Linked DNA regions of Oryzias latipes. The protein of the gene in region 2 purifies or fractionates together with the protein of the main gene of each other region. This does not show direct contact. Links are inferred from orthologs where the notes say so. Each region holds a gene or a part of one and is shown on either strand. Other genes may lie near its edges. The genes, in order: naa38 and naa30.

What was found.
Region 1: the proteins of naa30 (region 2) and naa38 purify together in Homo sapiens (co-immunoprecipitation; 3 studies listed by BioGRID and IntAct, with this or other methods). This does not show direct contact. The link is inferred for Oryzias latipes from reciprocal best matches to the Homo sapiens genes NAA30 and NAA38.

Annotation. Positions count from the first base shown.
Region 1 is NC_019876.2:17,555,042-17,562,444, reverse strand, and holds naa38 (N-alpha-acetyltransferase 38, NatC auxiliary subunit), read right to left. Parts: upstream 4,621-7,403; 5' UTR 4,608-4,620; coding exon 4,503-4,607; intron 4,189-4,502; coding exon 4,014-4,188; intron 2,891-4,013; coding exon 2,766-2,890; 3' UTR 2,275-2,765; downstream 1-2,274. Other genes in the region: dnaJ homolog subfamily C member 3, read left to right, coding at 72-204, 269-417, 690-835.
Region 2 is NC_019882.2:10,204,872-10,212,182, reverse strand, and holds the start of naa30 (N-alpha-acetyltransferase 30), read right to left. Parts: upstream 4,225-7,311; 5' UTR 3,898-4,224; coding exon 3,169-3,897; intron 1,311-3,168; coding exon 1,187-1,310; intron 1-1,186. UniProt on the Homo sapiens protein: Catalytic subunit of the N-terminal acetyltransferase C (NatC) complex. Catalyzes acetylation of the N-terminal methionine residues of peptides beginning with Met-Leu-Ala and Met-Leu-Gly.

The DNA.
Region 1 (7,403 bases), on a different chromosome or scaffold from region 2:
ATTCAGCAGAAAAAACAAAAGAGTCCCATCTCTGCACCATCACTCAGACGATCACTTCTGTTTCTCTGAAGCCGTGGAGGATTACCAGGAGGCGCGAGAGTTCGACGGCGACAGCAACGACATCAAAGAGGGTCTGGAGCGAGCGCAGAAGCTGCTGAAAGTCTCTCAGAAGAGGGACTACTACAAGATCCTCGGAGTCAGCAGGTAAGCCCCACGGCGGCACCTCCAGGAGGGAAAAACTCTCCCTGACATCCCCGTCTGTCCTCAGGAGCGCCAACAAGCAGGAGGTCATCAAAGCGTACAGGAAGCTGGCTCAGCAGTGGCACCCCGACAACTTCCAGTCTGAGGCGGAGAAGAAGGAGGCGGAGAAGAAGTTCATCGACATCGCGTCGGCCAAAGAGGTCCTCACCGACCCCGGTCAGCAGTCATTCACACTCTTCTGTTTCCTTTCAATCGTCCGGACTAAAGCGAAACTGGAGTTTAGCTCGACTGAAAAGAACCAGAAACAGGATGAAGGTTTAGAATTTGCCAACAAAAGTATTTGTCTTTGAAGTCAAAATAAAAGCTAGACTAATGGTGTTGAGGGCCTTTGACTGAGCCTGTCACTCGACATTTTTCACGTGTTTGATTACAAGTTTTCGGTGTTATGAATACAATGTTTTCTTGTTCCTCCTTTCATCCGATTCCAGAAATGAGACAGAAGTTCGACTCGGGCGAGGATCCTCTGGACCCGGAGAACCAGCAGGGCGGAGGCGGCGGTCAGAGGCCGTGGCCTTTCCACTTCAACCCCTTTGATTCTGGAGGCAGCTTCCACTTCAAGTTTGAGTACAACTAGACCCCAGGAGGTTTGTGGATTGGGGACGGACTCCTCAGGACGTCTTCATCTACGTTGGTGCAGTTTCAAAACTTCTGACTTTTCTTCTTCTTCAATCTGGACCTTCCTCTGAATCCAGAGGAAGACTCTAGGAAACCTAAAGGTGGTGGTTACAGGAAACTGAAGCACTTTGTGCCATTTTTGAATCGTCTACAGGCAGGTTTGCCTCTTAGGATTCTTTTTTTCTCAAATGTGACATTTTGGAGTCTCCTCTTTCTATTTAAAGACTTTGAGGAGCTTCCAAAGAAACGATGAGGTTCAAACGTGAAACTTCTGAAGGTTGAAATCCTGTGGATGGAACTCTGTCGTTGCAGTTTTCTGCTTTAAACTGCAGCTCATTGGCCTTTCAAAAAAAAGATGATCAAAATAAAAAAAAGCTGCAAATATATTTAGGTTCAAAGGCTTTAATCTCCAAACGTCCACAAATGGAGAGAAGTTGGAGCTTTTTAAAAGTCCTTCAGAGAACCTGAAGACTCTTTGGTTGCCATCCCAGAAACTGCTTTATAATTAGAACAAGTCAGATGTTCTGCAGAGCCGGAGCTCGAGTTTCTGCGGCGTCTGTATTTCACAAAGACGCGGAGAATGTTTATGCGAAGGCGGAAAACTTAAGGCGGAAGTTTGAGGAAAGAAAACGTGACGGCTGTAGGTGCTGCCATGAAAAACCATGTTACGCCCCATCTCCATTTTATTTCTGTTTGCACAACTTTAAGTTATTTTTACCAGGTTAAGAAATGGAACTGGTTCTACGGCTTACTGTGTGGACTTTAATGTGACCGTATTTAAAGATGAAGTCTCATTTGTTGACGGCATCGATTTACTGTTGCCAAACTGAACCTGCTGACATGTTTTGAGTGTAATAAAACATGTAAATGATTCGTTTGCACTCCTTTTACCTCATTCGTTTGTTTTTCTTTCTTGTTTAGTCCCTTTTTAAATAAAGTTAATTAAAAAAAAAGAGGAAAAACTTAATGCATGCATGTGCATCTTTATATCTTTAGAAGTCCCTTGAGACAAACGGGAAGAAATTCAACTTCCGGGTTGAAGCAGGTTAAAAAAACCAAAGTAATTAGAAAAAGGTGAAGTTCACTAAGGAAACTAAAAGAAGTTCAGGTTTAAGGCATAAATTCAAAACAAAAATATTTAGTCTTGCTCAAAAAACATCTCTTCTTTGCTGGTTACAATATCCATAATGTACTCAAACTTTTACTTTGAAATACTAATTTTACATATGAACTTAAAAATCGTGAACGATTTTTTGACCAATTCAAAACGTACTTTTATTTTGAAAAGATTAGGGTTTGGTGATGTCAGTTTTGCAACGGACATCGCTGCCTTCGCTTTTAAAGTAATCCAATAAATTTGGTCCACTTCCCAAAACGTTTGTTTGACTTGATACAATATACATAACTGTAAAGTTTTATTTTCATTTTATTCATAAACATAAAGATTGCAAAGGTTAGTCTTCTGACTGAAAACTAAAAAGCCTGTTTGTCCTGCCTATATACTTTTATTTTGAAAAAAAGACTAGTTCTGTGATGTCACACGTCAGCCAAAATGGCAGCAATAAACGAAGACATTGCTGGCTTCACTTTTGAAAGAATTTCTAAAATAAAATGTGATCATAATCAGTTTAAAATCCTAAATATGGTCCACATTTCTCATACGGTTCTGCAGGAATCCAAAGCTTCAAACAGAACTTTTATTTTAAAACCACTCCGGCAGAGACGTTTAATCTCAGTCTGTCTCCACTCCTGCAGCCGGCAGAACCTTCCTGTCAGTCTTTGAGGGAACGGCTGAATCCAAACGTTCTGTGATCCACCAACACCAGCGGTCCAACTGTCCAGCAGCAAAGCATGATGGGTGTTGAAGTCTGCAAATGTCCCAGGCTTCCTCAGCAGATGGCTCCAAATCCGTGAGCGTCCTCTAGACTGTCGGCCTCCACCTCGATGGACACCACGTGGTGGCCGGGGATCATGGCCAGGCCCAGCACTCTGGGTTCACCCTGAGAGAACGTGTCTGAGGAAAGAGGACATGGTAGCATCAATGCTCCTTTTCAGGGGGGAAAACCGCCTTAAACCTCAGCCTCTAGAACTACGAGTCCGAGTTTTAAAGGTAGAAAGAAAAAAAAAAAACATTTCGCGACTCAGGAATGTTCCACTAAAACGTTTCTCCTGGTACAGTGGCTAAAGGTGGTCTAAATCTGACTGTATATGAGAACTGGACTGAGTGACCCCTCCCTCCTCACGTTCCAAACAGGAAGTAGCCGCTGGCTCCAAGAAGCTGAACTTCAACTTCCCATAAACTTCAACTGAGAAATAAACAGCCATTACTCAGTCTGAACTACCATTCTTGCTCTGCTACCTTTTTTTAAACATGTTCTTATTAATCTTTTTCTCTGTAGCGCAAATTATTTAAGTTATAAACTGACCAATCAGGTGCCTCAATAAAAGCATGTGGTCTTAAAACAAATGTTCAAAATGTTTGGCAGATGTGTAGCCTGCTTTCACGTGGATGGGGTGTGGTCTTCCAACAAGCTCACTCCTGTTTGGTTAGAGTGGTTGCCATTGGTTCGGACAAATCACCGTTCACTGACCTCGTATGGCTCCAACATGGCGGCGTTTCGCAAATAAAATGGCGCCAGTCCATTTTGTTGGACCTGGAGGTAAGGCGCTTTCTATGGATGACATCACACTCACTCAGTCCAGGTCCTAAATACAGTCAATGGTTTTATGACCTTTTCAAGACTTTTTAAATATGTTGGTTTGTGTTTTTGAAACTTTTTTTAGTGGAAGAACCATGTAACGTTGTTGAACATCTTGTGAAAACACCAGGGATGAGGATTTCATCTCCAAATGACACCACAACAACATAGAAAAGCCACAAACAAGAGTAGTAATAACTAGTTAAGTCTATGAAGACTCTCATTCATCCGGGTTGATTCCATCGTTCTGTTCGGGAACTGACTAAGCTTTTTGGATAAGAGGTGAAACGTCTTCAACTTTAAAAACCAACCAGATGGCAACCTTTCAACCTACTACTATGATGAATAACCAGTTAATATAAAATGTAACCCGATGTTCTGTGTGGAGGAGAACCGGCCAGCTATAACGTCTTCTCTGGTTCCCTCTTGTTTTGTTACCTGGAGATTTGAGGAACTCCTGAGCAGAGCCGAGGATGACGTTGCAGTCGCGGTCCGTGCAGAGGAAGAGCCCCACCAAAGTCCGTCCGTCCGTCATGCGGATCCTCATGTTCTTGTTCAGGAGCCCCTCCAGCTTCTGTCTGGCCTGAGACGAAGGCGGAACCTCGGTCTGCCCCTGGAGGTACACACACAAATGACTAAGAACTGCTGCCAACATTATCACAAAATATCTTAAAACGATGAACACGATTAATAATTGTAGAAGAATTGCAATTATCATATTTTATTCAAAGTAGCTAGTTTGTTTATAATCATGGCTGTGCAGGGCACGTTTTTAGAATGCTATTTTGTTAGCTTCAGGCTAACGTCTTACTTAAAGTATCGATAATCACTTTCTAATCTATCATTTGTTTTCTTCCTTTTTTTAAAAAAAATAGTGTAATGAAAAAAATGTAAATATCGTTACACAAAAACATGACAAATACATACTCGAGTCGAAGGACCGTTTTCCTCGATTATTGTTGCCATAACCTTTTCTTGTTTCTTGCGGAACAAATTTACCGACGGACCAGCTGGACCGGAAGTAGGTCGCATTTGACATTTTTTCCCCCTCCAGAAACGTTATTATAAATGCCAGGTACCGTACAAAAATATAAATATACAACAGACATTAATCCAAACATATAAACAAGGAATAAAAATAATATAAAGTGCCAGAGGTAGAAATGAATATGTAAAATTACATGGGTATGTAAAACTAGATTTAACAAAACTTTACAGATTTAGCATTTTTAAAAAGTTTATGTTGGGATATTTTCAAGCTTTTTGGCTTTTTGTTTTAAACTACTTGATTTTACAAATAAACAGACCTGAAACAAAAATAAAGAAAAGTTTGGGATTTGGTCAGAAAAATTACATTTATGACTAGATTCACTAGTTGCTTTATGGGACGCTGGAGGGAACAATGGAAGACATAAAAAAATGAAAAGATTAGTTGATTGATTGATTGATTGACTGATTGATTGAACATTTCTATGGGGCTAAATTAGGATCAGCTTAAAATGAATAAAAAACCAGATTGTGAATTGGAAGAAAACTGACGTTGTAAATTGAATAACTGGACAACAGTTTTAAACTCAAAGTACACATTGTAAACCTGTAAGAAGTATTGAACATTGTAAAACTAAATTGTAAATTTTAAACGTTAAAAAAAAACAGTTTTTTCGATAACAGCTGTTTATGTTTCTCTTTCCTCACTACGGAGCCTGTGAGCTAACATGGGTAAATAATAATAATTACTTGCCTCAAAAAAATAAAATTCAGATATACATTTATCCTGTTGTATTTGAAAGCAACCTCACTTACAGTGACACGTTGATTGGTCGAGATGCGTTATGGGATATGTGTGATGCATGATGGGATAAGTAGCATGAAGCCTTCGGGTGTAAAGTAACTGCTAACTGTTACTAAAAGACAAGTTACCTCAGCACGTCATGGATATTATTATTCCTGTTCGACCCTAAAATGCAACGCCACATACCGCAGCAACGCTTCGCCTGCTGGCCAGCCAGCTGCCCGAAAGTCGGCGTGCCGACAAGCTCGGCCCTCCTAAATCTTACAATGTTTCTCTTATTTTCAACAGTGATAAATGGATCCCCTAGTTTGATTCTTGTTTTTAATTTTCCCCTCTTGAATTAATGCAGGTCACAGAGACAAAGATGTAGCGGCGGAAAGCTGCTTTTGCGGCAGTCGGGAGAGCGTACCGGGATGTGTATGAACGGGATTATTGATGCTTTTGTGGAGCTTTTTTAAATAAATAAATTGGATCTCTAAACATCCTCTGTGTCTTCTATGCTTTGTATTGAGATATATACAGTCAGAAATGTGAAGGTATCTGCTGTAAATCCAAGTATTGCTCACATCCATGTTTATGAGTGACTTACCACATGAATTTACCCATGTCAGATCACGGGCTCCGTGTCTCGCTCTCAGTCCTCCGTCTACAATTTTAATTCAGACTTTCACAGTTTTCACTGCTGAGCCTAACTTTATGTGACAGGGGAGCTTTGTGCCCATTGGCCACCAAGGTCGGAATCCTGGCTAGGGGGGGGGGGGTCGGGTCGGGTTATGGTGGCTCAAAACAATTACCTGGTAGTTATGACAAAACAACGGTTAGGACAAATTAGGTCTTTGTCCATTAAGAACATTAAGAAATCTTTTTATAAATATATTGAAAGTGTGAAATAAAACGCAGAGTGACCTTTACACTGTAGAAAGAAAACTTATTTGATTTGAGTTTTTGTTATGTTAACCAAAAAATTGAATTTAAAAAAGCATCTAATTTGGATTAAAAAAATAAGGCACAACCTAATCTGAAAAACTCCCATGCGACTTTTGGAAAAAAAAAAAGTCTAAATAAATAAATAAAACATACACTTTGGTTTTTCAACTATGAAGCACAGAGGTGGAGGTTCTTACCGTGTGTTTCAGGCTCATGATCTAGATGTTTGCCATTTAACTCATGGACTGATGAAAAAAATGACCAAATTGGCTTCTGTTCCACAACACTTAAATAAAAAAGTGTCTGTGGAGAAATCTGTTTTTCACCATAAAGGATCTAAAAACTACTTTTCCAAAATAGCCGAGGGATTTTACAAATCATTTTTAACTTTGTGAAAAAATTCCTCTGTGTCTGGTTAAACTTACAGGTCAGTAGGAACTGCTCAGAGATGCTGAACAGTGGTTTTACTGCCATATTAAAGCAGTGAGTTGGAAGCATCTTCCTCTTCTAGAGCATTCTGAAGGTGATTTAAAGGTCGTCCATCAAGCTAATACTTTACTAAAATCAGTCTAAACTTCCAGCTTAACGTGAGCCAAAAGACACAAATCTTTATTTAGGCTAAAATAAGAACTTCCAAACTGATTGATGTCTTCTGCTTCACTGTTGTGGTTGACTGTAGTTTCACTTCATCAGTCTCTGTCAGTGTGCAGCACCTCCGGTCCACCCTTTTTCACATCAGATGTCTTCTTTTCATGGAGACGTTTGTGGTTTTGGTTGTGTGCAGCCCGTCAAAGACCAGCGGCGTCTGAATGGGTCTGTGGGCTGAACCTGATTAGAACATTGTGGAACTAACTAATTCGCTTAAGATCAACTCAGAGTGCAAGCTTTCTTAGCAAAGCATACCCAAACCATCATCCTTCCACCACCGTGCTTTACACGATGGTTTCCCTCTGTCTGCACCGGAAATGAACAGAACAAGAGTCTTTATTGCAACCCTCAAAAATTGTATTTTAGTATTTGAAACTTGATGGATGGATGGATGGATGGATGGATGGATGAATAGATAGATGGAGGCAGAAAATAAATACCACTAAAATAAACAATAAAAA
Region 2 (7,311 bases):
GAGTCGGTCAACACAAAATGCATTTTAGACATTAAGTCATGGATGGCAGAAAACTTCCTGCAGGTTAACCAGGACAAAACAGAGGTTTTAGTGATCGGTTCTGAAGACAAGAGAGAGATTGTTTTATCTAAACTAAAGACTTACAAAACTTTTCAGTGTGTGAGAAACCTGGGTGTTATTTTTGACTCAGAGATGAACTCAAGATTGATTTTGAAGTTCTTTTATTGGTTTATAAATGTTTTTATGGTCTCGGGCCTTCATATTTATCTAAAGTATGAGCCCTCACGGACCCCGAGGTCCTCTGATACCGGCCTTTTGGTTATCCCAAAAGTTAAACTAAAACATACGGCGAGGCCTCATTCAGTTTTTATGGACCTCGCCTGTGGAACAGCCTCCCAGAGAGCCTCAGGGCCGCAGAGACTGTTAATGTTTTTAAAAGGAGGGCTTAAGACTTACCTTTTTACTCTAGCTTTTAGTTGAATTTTATGAATTTATTTGATATTTTCATTATTTATTTTCTCCTTTTACTAGTTTTATATGTGTATGTATAAACATTTATTTATTTATTTGTATTTATTTATTTTTAATTTTTTTGTCACACTTACCATTTTATGTGTCTATTTAGGTGTTATGTAATTATTTGTTTCTTGTTCATCTTTTAAATATATCTTCATTTGATTCCTTTTATATTTTAGTGTTTTCCTCAGCGATCCTCCACATCAGTGACTGACCTTCTCAGTGAACGGGGTCGCTGCAGTGGGATCTCCCGGGTCTGACTCTTTCGATCGGATCTGGGGGGTTCTGCGGTAGTGGACTCCATGAACTTGGGTGGGGGGGTCACTGATGTGGACATGTCCCCAAAATATCGTTTCCCCATTTCAGGACAAAGCCAGGTCTCTACATTGCATCATTTTATCACTCTTTTTATCATGGTGTGTGTGTGTGTATGTCTGTGTGAGTGTGTGTGTGTGTGGGTGTGTCTGCGTGTGTGTGTGTGTGTGTGTGTGGGGGGGGGTTGGTTGGCATTGTTTGTCTTGTCATTTTGTTTTTAAAGTTTGATTATATTCTATGCAAAGCACTTTGAGTGACATGTGTTGAAAAAGTGCTATATTAATAAAGGTTGATTTGATTTGATAGTTTTTAAATAAAGCTCCTCTTGAAAGTCTGCCACAAAGGCAGAGCTTACCGATGCTTTTCCTTCTGTGCTTGGAGTCCACAGCCAGCATGGCGATGTAGCCGCGGCGAAACATCTTCTTATGCATGTCCAGTTTACAAACGATGGCTCCCACACACTCCTGCTCCACCATGGCCTGAGGACACACAAACATGCTGCCTTCAGGTCCTTCTAGCCCTGCGTGAAGGTTGAAGATCGGTCCGCTGCTAGCTAGCAGCACTTCTACAAAAAGTAGAGGCTGAAGTCTGCTATAACCCTTGTGCTATCCTAGGCACTTTACCATTGGGAGTTGGGTCATCTAGACCCACTAGACAGTGCTCTGAACCTTTTTTCTTCAATGATTTGTGATCCTCACTGGTGTCCAGAGATTACATGAAATCTTTCCACCTTTATCATGGTAGGGAGAACATGTCAATGTAAGGGTGGGGTCATCTAAGATAGCACAAGGGTCAAAGGTGAGGGATGCTTTGTAAAGTACACACATTCATATCTAAGAAAAACAAAACAAAAAAGATATTTTTTAGCTTTTTAACACTGGGGAAAGTCGCCGGCAACACCTGAATAACACACACTCTCTGACATAACGTTAACTCCTCAACCATTTACTCCATCAGTGCGACTCAGCCGCAGAAAAAAGGGGCTTTGTACAGACATGCAATACTTTACGACAGTAAACGTAATGTTTTGGCGCAGAGCTACTTTTCTCTGCCACAGAATCCACTGGAATGACGTTAATTGCAAAACCAGCTGAAGAGTTGCATGGAAAGACCGTCAACACTGGAGCTAGCGAGGGTTAAATAAAGCTGGAGGAAAATGCTGGGATCCACACACACACATCCCACTGCCTGTATATGAGAGCTGGACCGTCACTAGGGCTGCACGACACGAGGAAAACCCGCCATGTCCGATATTAGTGATCATCATTGCAAAGACTATATCACTTGCGATACATGAAAAGCTAAATAACTGATGCATCATTTCCAATTTGCTGTAACATTTTGTTTGAATCAAACTCACCATAACTTCAATTATTCTCCAAATGACCCACATAGGAAAGCGGCTTGTAGGTAACCATTTATGTCGTCTTTTGTTATAGGCGCATTGAGCTTACTGATGACTGAGACTGACCTGTTTATTTCTCTATAGAAGTCTATGAGATTTTGGCTTCTTGGAGTCAGCCGGAACTTCCTGTTTGGAACACCGGGGGGGGGGGGGGGGGGGGGGGGGGGGGGGTCACTCAGTCCAGTTCTTATATACAGACAATGGTTTGTACATCATTTCTATTGACTTCAATCCTATATGACTGTTGTTAGAAGACACTTTGATCCTGAATTTAAGACAACAAAAACCAACAAAGTTATTTGTTAAAAGGGACAAAACAAAGACAACCTCTGAGTCCTTTTAACACCATACCATATGAATAAAAACCTTTGAATGTTGTCAAAATGTGTTTACATTTAGATCAAGTTCATTTGAAAAACTTTATTTAAAACGCATCATACAACAGCAGAGATCTTTTCTGCTGCTTTTAAAACGGTGTGGAAAGAAAGCAACAACAAAAAATGGCCAAAAATGATCAATACCATATTTGATCAATTTTTAATGTTTAATAACAGTTGACAATAGTTTTACAGTTATCCCAGAAAGGGCATTAGTCAAAGAAAAAGTCTAGATCCCCTGTTTATCACTCACTGTGACTATTGTCTAGATGTATTTTTGCTTTTGTAACATTTTGAAGTGAAAGAGTTGTAGTAAATTAAGAGTTTTAGGGAGAACTCTAGCTGGTTGCTATAGTTTCATCAAATTAGGTAACTACCATTGTCAGATTATAGGCGTTTGTGCTGGGCACGTGACCATTTCAATCATCTGGAGCAAACAGATCATAACCAGACTTTCCAGGTGAGTGTTTGTAGTGGTCATGTGACCTGTGGCACGTGGGCAGCAGGCTGGTTTGGAGGTGTTTTTGGGTGGAGGGGGATCGGAGTTGGACTCACCAGAAAGCAGAGCTGCGGCCAGTTGTGGATGAAGTACCTGTAGGTGTAAATGGAGTAAGGCTCGGACAAGTCCTTCGTGATCAGTCTCATGATCCACGGCATCTGCAGCTCCGATTCGTAGCGCACGTAGCGGATGCCGTGGCTGTCCGGCCCGGGAGAGCCACTCAGGTCAAGCCGGGCTAGCTCGGCGGCGGGCGGATCCGAGGAGCTCTCCTCTCCGCCGGGCCCGGCAGCGTCCGGGGACTCGTGGCCTGGCGGTCTGGAGGGCTGCTTGTGTTTGTCGGCTCCGCGGGCCGCCTCGGACCTCGAGAAGTCCGGCATGCCGTTAAGGTGAGCGCCGTTCTCGGACACGGGGCCTTCGCGCTCCGCCGGCGCTCCATCGCCGCTGTCAGTGTCAGCGGGAGACCTCAGACTCTCGGGCCGGACGTCGGGCTCCTCGGAGGGGCTGACCACGCCGTTCAGCTGCTGCTCTCCGCTCTGAGGCTTGAGGTGCAGCACCGCCGGGCTAGTTTGAGTTAGCATACCTTTCTGCTTCCTCTTTACCGAGCGTTTAACGTCGTTCAACGGATGAGACTCGTCCCTCGTGCCGGCAGACACGCAGTCATTCGCGAGGCAGGGCGGCTGTCCGTCTTCCACCACCGGCTGCGCGCTTCTGTCCCCGGAGAAGGGATGACTGTCAGCCGGGGACGCAAGCAGAGCTTCACTAGGCCCGGGCGGCACTGTGGCCATCCCACTGCGTTAGAGCGGAGATCCACGCGGTGGACACGGGCTCATCAACGAAACCGAGCGGAACACCGGCAGTCGATTCGAAGTTCGGAGATTTTTTCCCGAATCCTCGGAGTCTGGAGCCAAAAGGTCCTCCGGTGAACACCACGGCTCTCTGCTGTCTGCTGCTCTACCTGCTGCCGTAAAGTGCCTGTCGCACCCAAAGGACGTTTTGCGACAGTGAGCTGCCATGACAGTTGTAGTTTTAGGAACAAGTGAAAATGTAGGTTAGAAATTGTGTAAAACACTAGTATATGCACAAAATTACAACCCATCAAGCACAAATAAAATATTTTGCTGACAAAAAATAAATAAACAATGAAACTAAAATAAATGGGGGGAAATATTTGACCTAAACCGCGTGCAACAACTCTACTATTCAGTTTCTATTTAACAATTTCATGCATTTCAAGACCTATTTAGTTTGGTGTCAAAAATGCAACACAACGACCGAGAAACAAGAGAAAAAAAGGTATTGAATCAGCACAAACCCATGAACACGCAGCAATACCCAGTTTGAGAACCCAAACAAAATCTAAGCTTTGTAAATTCATCCTTTTACCTGTAACAGTATTAGAAAATGATTCCTGCAGGAACTGTTTTACTTCTATGGTAAGCCCAACCTGACTTCCCATAATCCCTTTGTTTACACTCTCTCCTGCTAGCTCACAGCCCCTTACAACCCCAAGCTAACATTACCATTGAAAAAAAGATGGCGAGCAATATAAGAGCTTTCCAGCCGTACAGTTTTGAGCCAGATACCAGGTTGGACGAGGAAAACAAAGAAAACGGGGTACGTCACAGCTACAGGCTTTTTTTTAACGATTTTTTTGATTCATCACAATTTGAATAAAGAAATACTCAGAAAAGTAGTTTTAATCTTAATTTCCTGTTTATTTGTCCTCTATCATCAGAAAAAATGCCACAAGAACATGTTAAACAAACCAAAAAAACACGCGTTTCATTGCAGCAAGTCTTTAAAGGAAGATTAAATGATCCATGATAAAAACACAAAATTTAATATAAATCAGAGTGCAGTGTTTTAAATGGAAGTGGAAATCTATCAAAATATATAGTTTTTGGTTGCAGAAGGGTCAATAAACAAGACAGCAGTGGATGCAGTTTGTTTTTCCAGATAGAGTTTTTAATTATTTGCGGTGAGGTTTGAAGTGGGAGGTTTGGCTATGTTTTATTACTCAAAAGAGACTTGAGCTTATCATCTAGCCACCTTCCAAACCCACTTAACCCTCTAACATCAAAGCTTTTGCTCCAATGTTGATGTTTTTTCGACTACCGTTACTGTCCGACCTATTACCCAAATAACATAATTCCAGTGGATCCTGTCGGGAGAAAAGCGCGGTTATGCAACATTAAAGTAGGGTACACCCGGGATGGTCCGTCGGCTCATTGCAGACCCCAGAGCTTATTGTGGGTGGCATAACGCCCCAAACTATTTGTGCTACCTAATAGTTACCGGAGAGAAAGAAGAAAAATAATCAGCTTCCCACACATACATGGGAGTTTTGCAGAAATGGCTCCTGGGGGATAAGGTGGAGATCATAAGAACAGCTATCTATCAAAACAAAAATAATTGGATTGATGTCAGTAATACAACTTTAAAAGCAACGTTAGCTTACATCCAGTAATTTATCTTAAGCCTGTCTGAGATGAACCAACCTAATGTTGGCAACACAATGGAGCACAGGACCAGTCATGCAGCTAATGTGTTTCTTTGAACAACCTAAAACCTGTTTCCTTCTGCTGTTGATATTTTGGCCTAAAGGCCTGTTCACACCGGGACGAATTTCGCCGGCGATTTTCGCCGACGTTTAACGCCTCGTGACTAAACAAAGGGCACCAACGAGAGTGTGCACACCGACGCGAAAAAACGCCAGGCGTTAAAGCGTCAAAAAAAAAAAAACGCCTCGGGTTCGTTTTTTTTTTTTCGACGCGTCGCGTCGAAATCTACTCGACCAATGAGAACGGCGCTTTTGCTCACGTGTCTGGAGCTTCTGAAGTTACAGTAAAACACAACTTGGGGGCGCTCAAACACAAAACTGCCTTGCTGAGCACACATACCAGCGAAGAAGATAGACGCCAAGTAGCGTCTACACTGCCGCGAAGAAATAATGACGGACATTCTAAAATATCCCCGAACCAAGCACCAGTTGGAGCTACTGGTGCTTGAAATATTCATGTTTTCTTTGTTTGATTCTGACAAGCGTGTAAATACTTGCTCTCTTCTTCTGAGTGAAAAGCGACTTTCAGAAGCGTAAAGTTGCGCAGCGCCACCTTGTGTACAGGAGTATTTCTGTTTTACATTAAGCGCCATCTAATGTCAGGGAATGAAATTGCATGTTCACTCCACTCATCGTCAGCGAAAATCGCCTGGGTGTGAACACAAAAAACGTGGCGAAAAACGCTGGCGAATAACGCCTGGCGAATATTCGTCCCGGTGTGTACGGGCCTTAACAGTCAGACACAAGGAACTGTAGCCAGGCCAAACCCAGTCTGACTAATCACAGCCTGAATACTCCCACAGCAGACAATTAGCATCTTGCTTTCATGTGTAAAATGAGTGAGGCAAGAGGAGGGAGGAGTCTGTGTGAAGGAAACAGGCAGAGAAGAAAAGCCCAATTAAGAATTTGGGTGAGAAATGAACCATCTGCTGCTGAGTGATACGAGTTCTCCAGGAGAAATTAGCTCGGACTCGTAAGATAATGATTTTGGACAATCATCCTACTTTTTGTTTTAATAAAATGCCCGGATGCCTGTCCGTCAGTCCATAGAAAGACCAGATGCAGTTTGGGGCCTGTTGCGTTGTGTACTTGACTGTGTGTGCATGTGGCTTACCAAGGCTTTGAAAGCAATCAAAGCTGCTGCACACCATTTTTAAAGAGTCAGTATGATAAAATGTAAGGAAATATGGCTCCAGTAGGAAGCTTTCATTAGAGCTCAGGAAACTGATCAGAGCAGTGGATGCAGTTTATTTGTCCTAAGCAGTCTGCAGTGGCAGGAAGCCCATTTGTAGACCATCTAACCTTTAGCAGGAACTTGTTAGGGACTTTATTTCTGTCCATGACTGACAGGAATCCATGCGCAGAAAAATGACAGCAGTCATCATACGGGTCCATATCTGATTGTCAATCCTGTAATAAGAAGTCAAATGTTCCCACTTCAGGTAAACACAAAAATCTCTCTTTCCTTTCCATATTTGGGTGGAAAAAGACTAAGCAGATCCCAAACATGACATTAAAGGGAAACTTCAAATCATTTATTACAAACTGGCAAAGCTCAGGAGAAACCCCATTATTAGGAGTAAATCTGAAACATAACCTATTTCGAGTGTAGAATCTATTACTTTTTTCCTTTAAACCT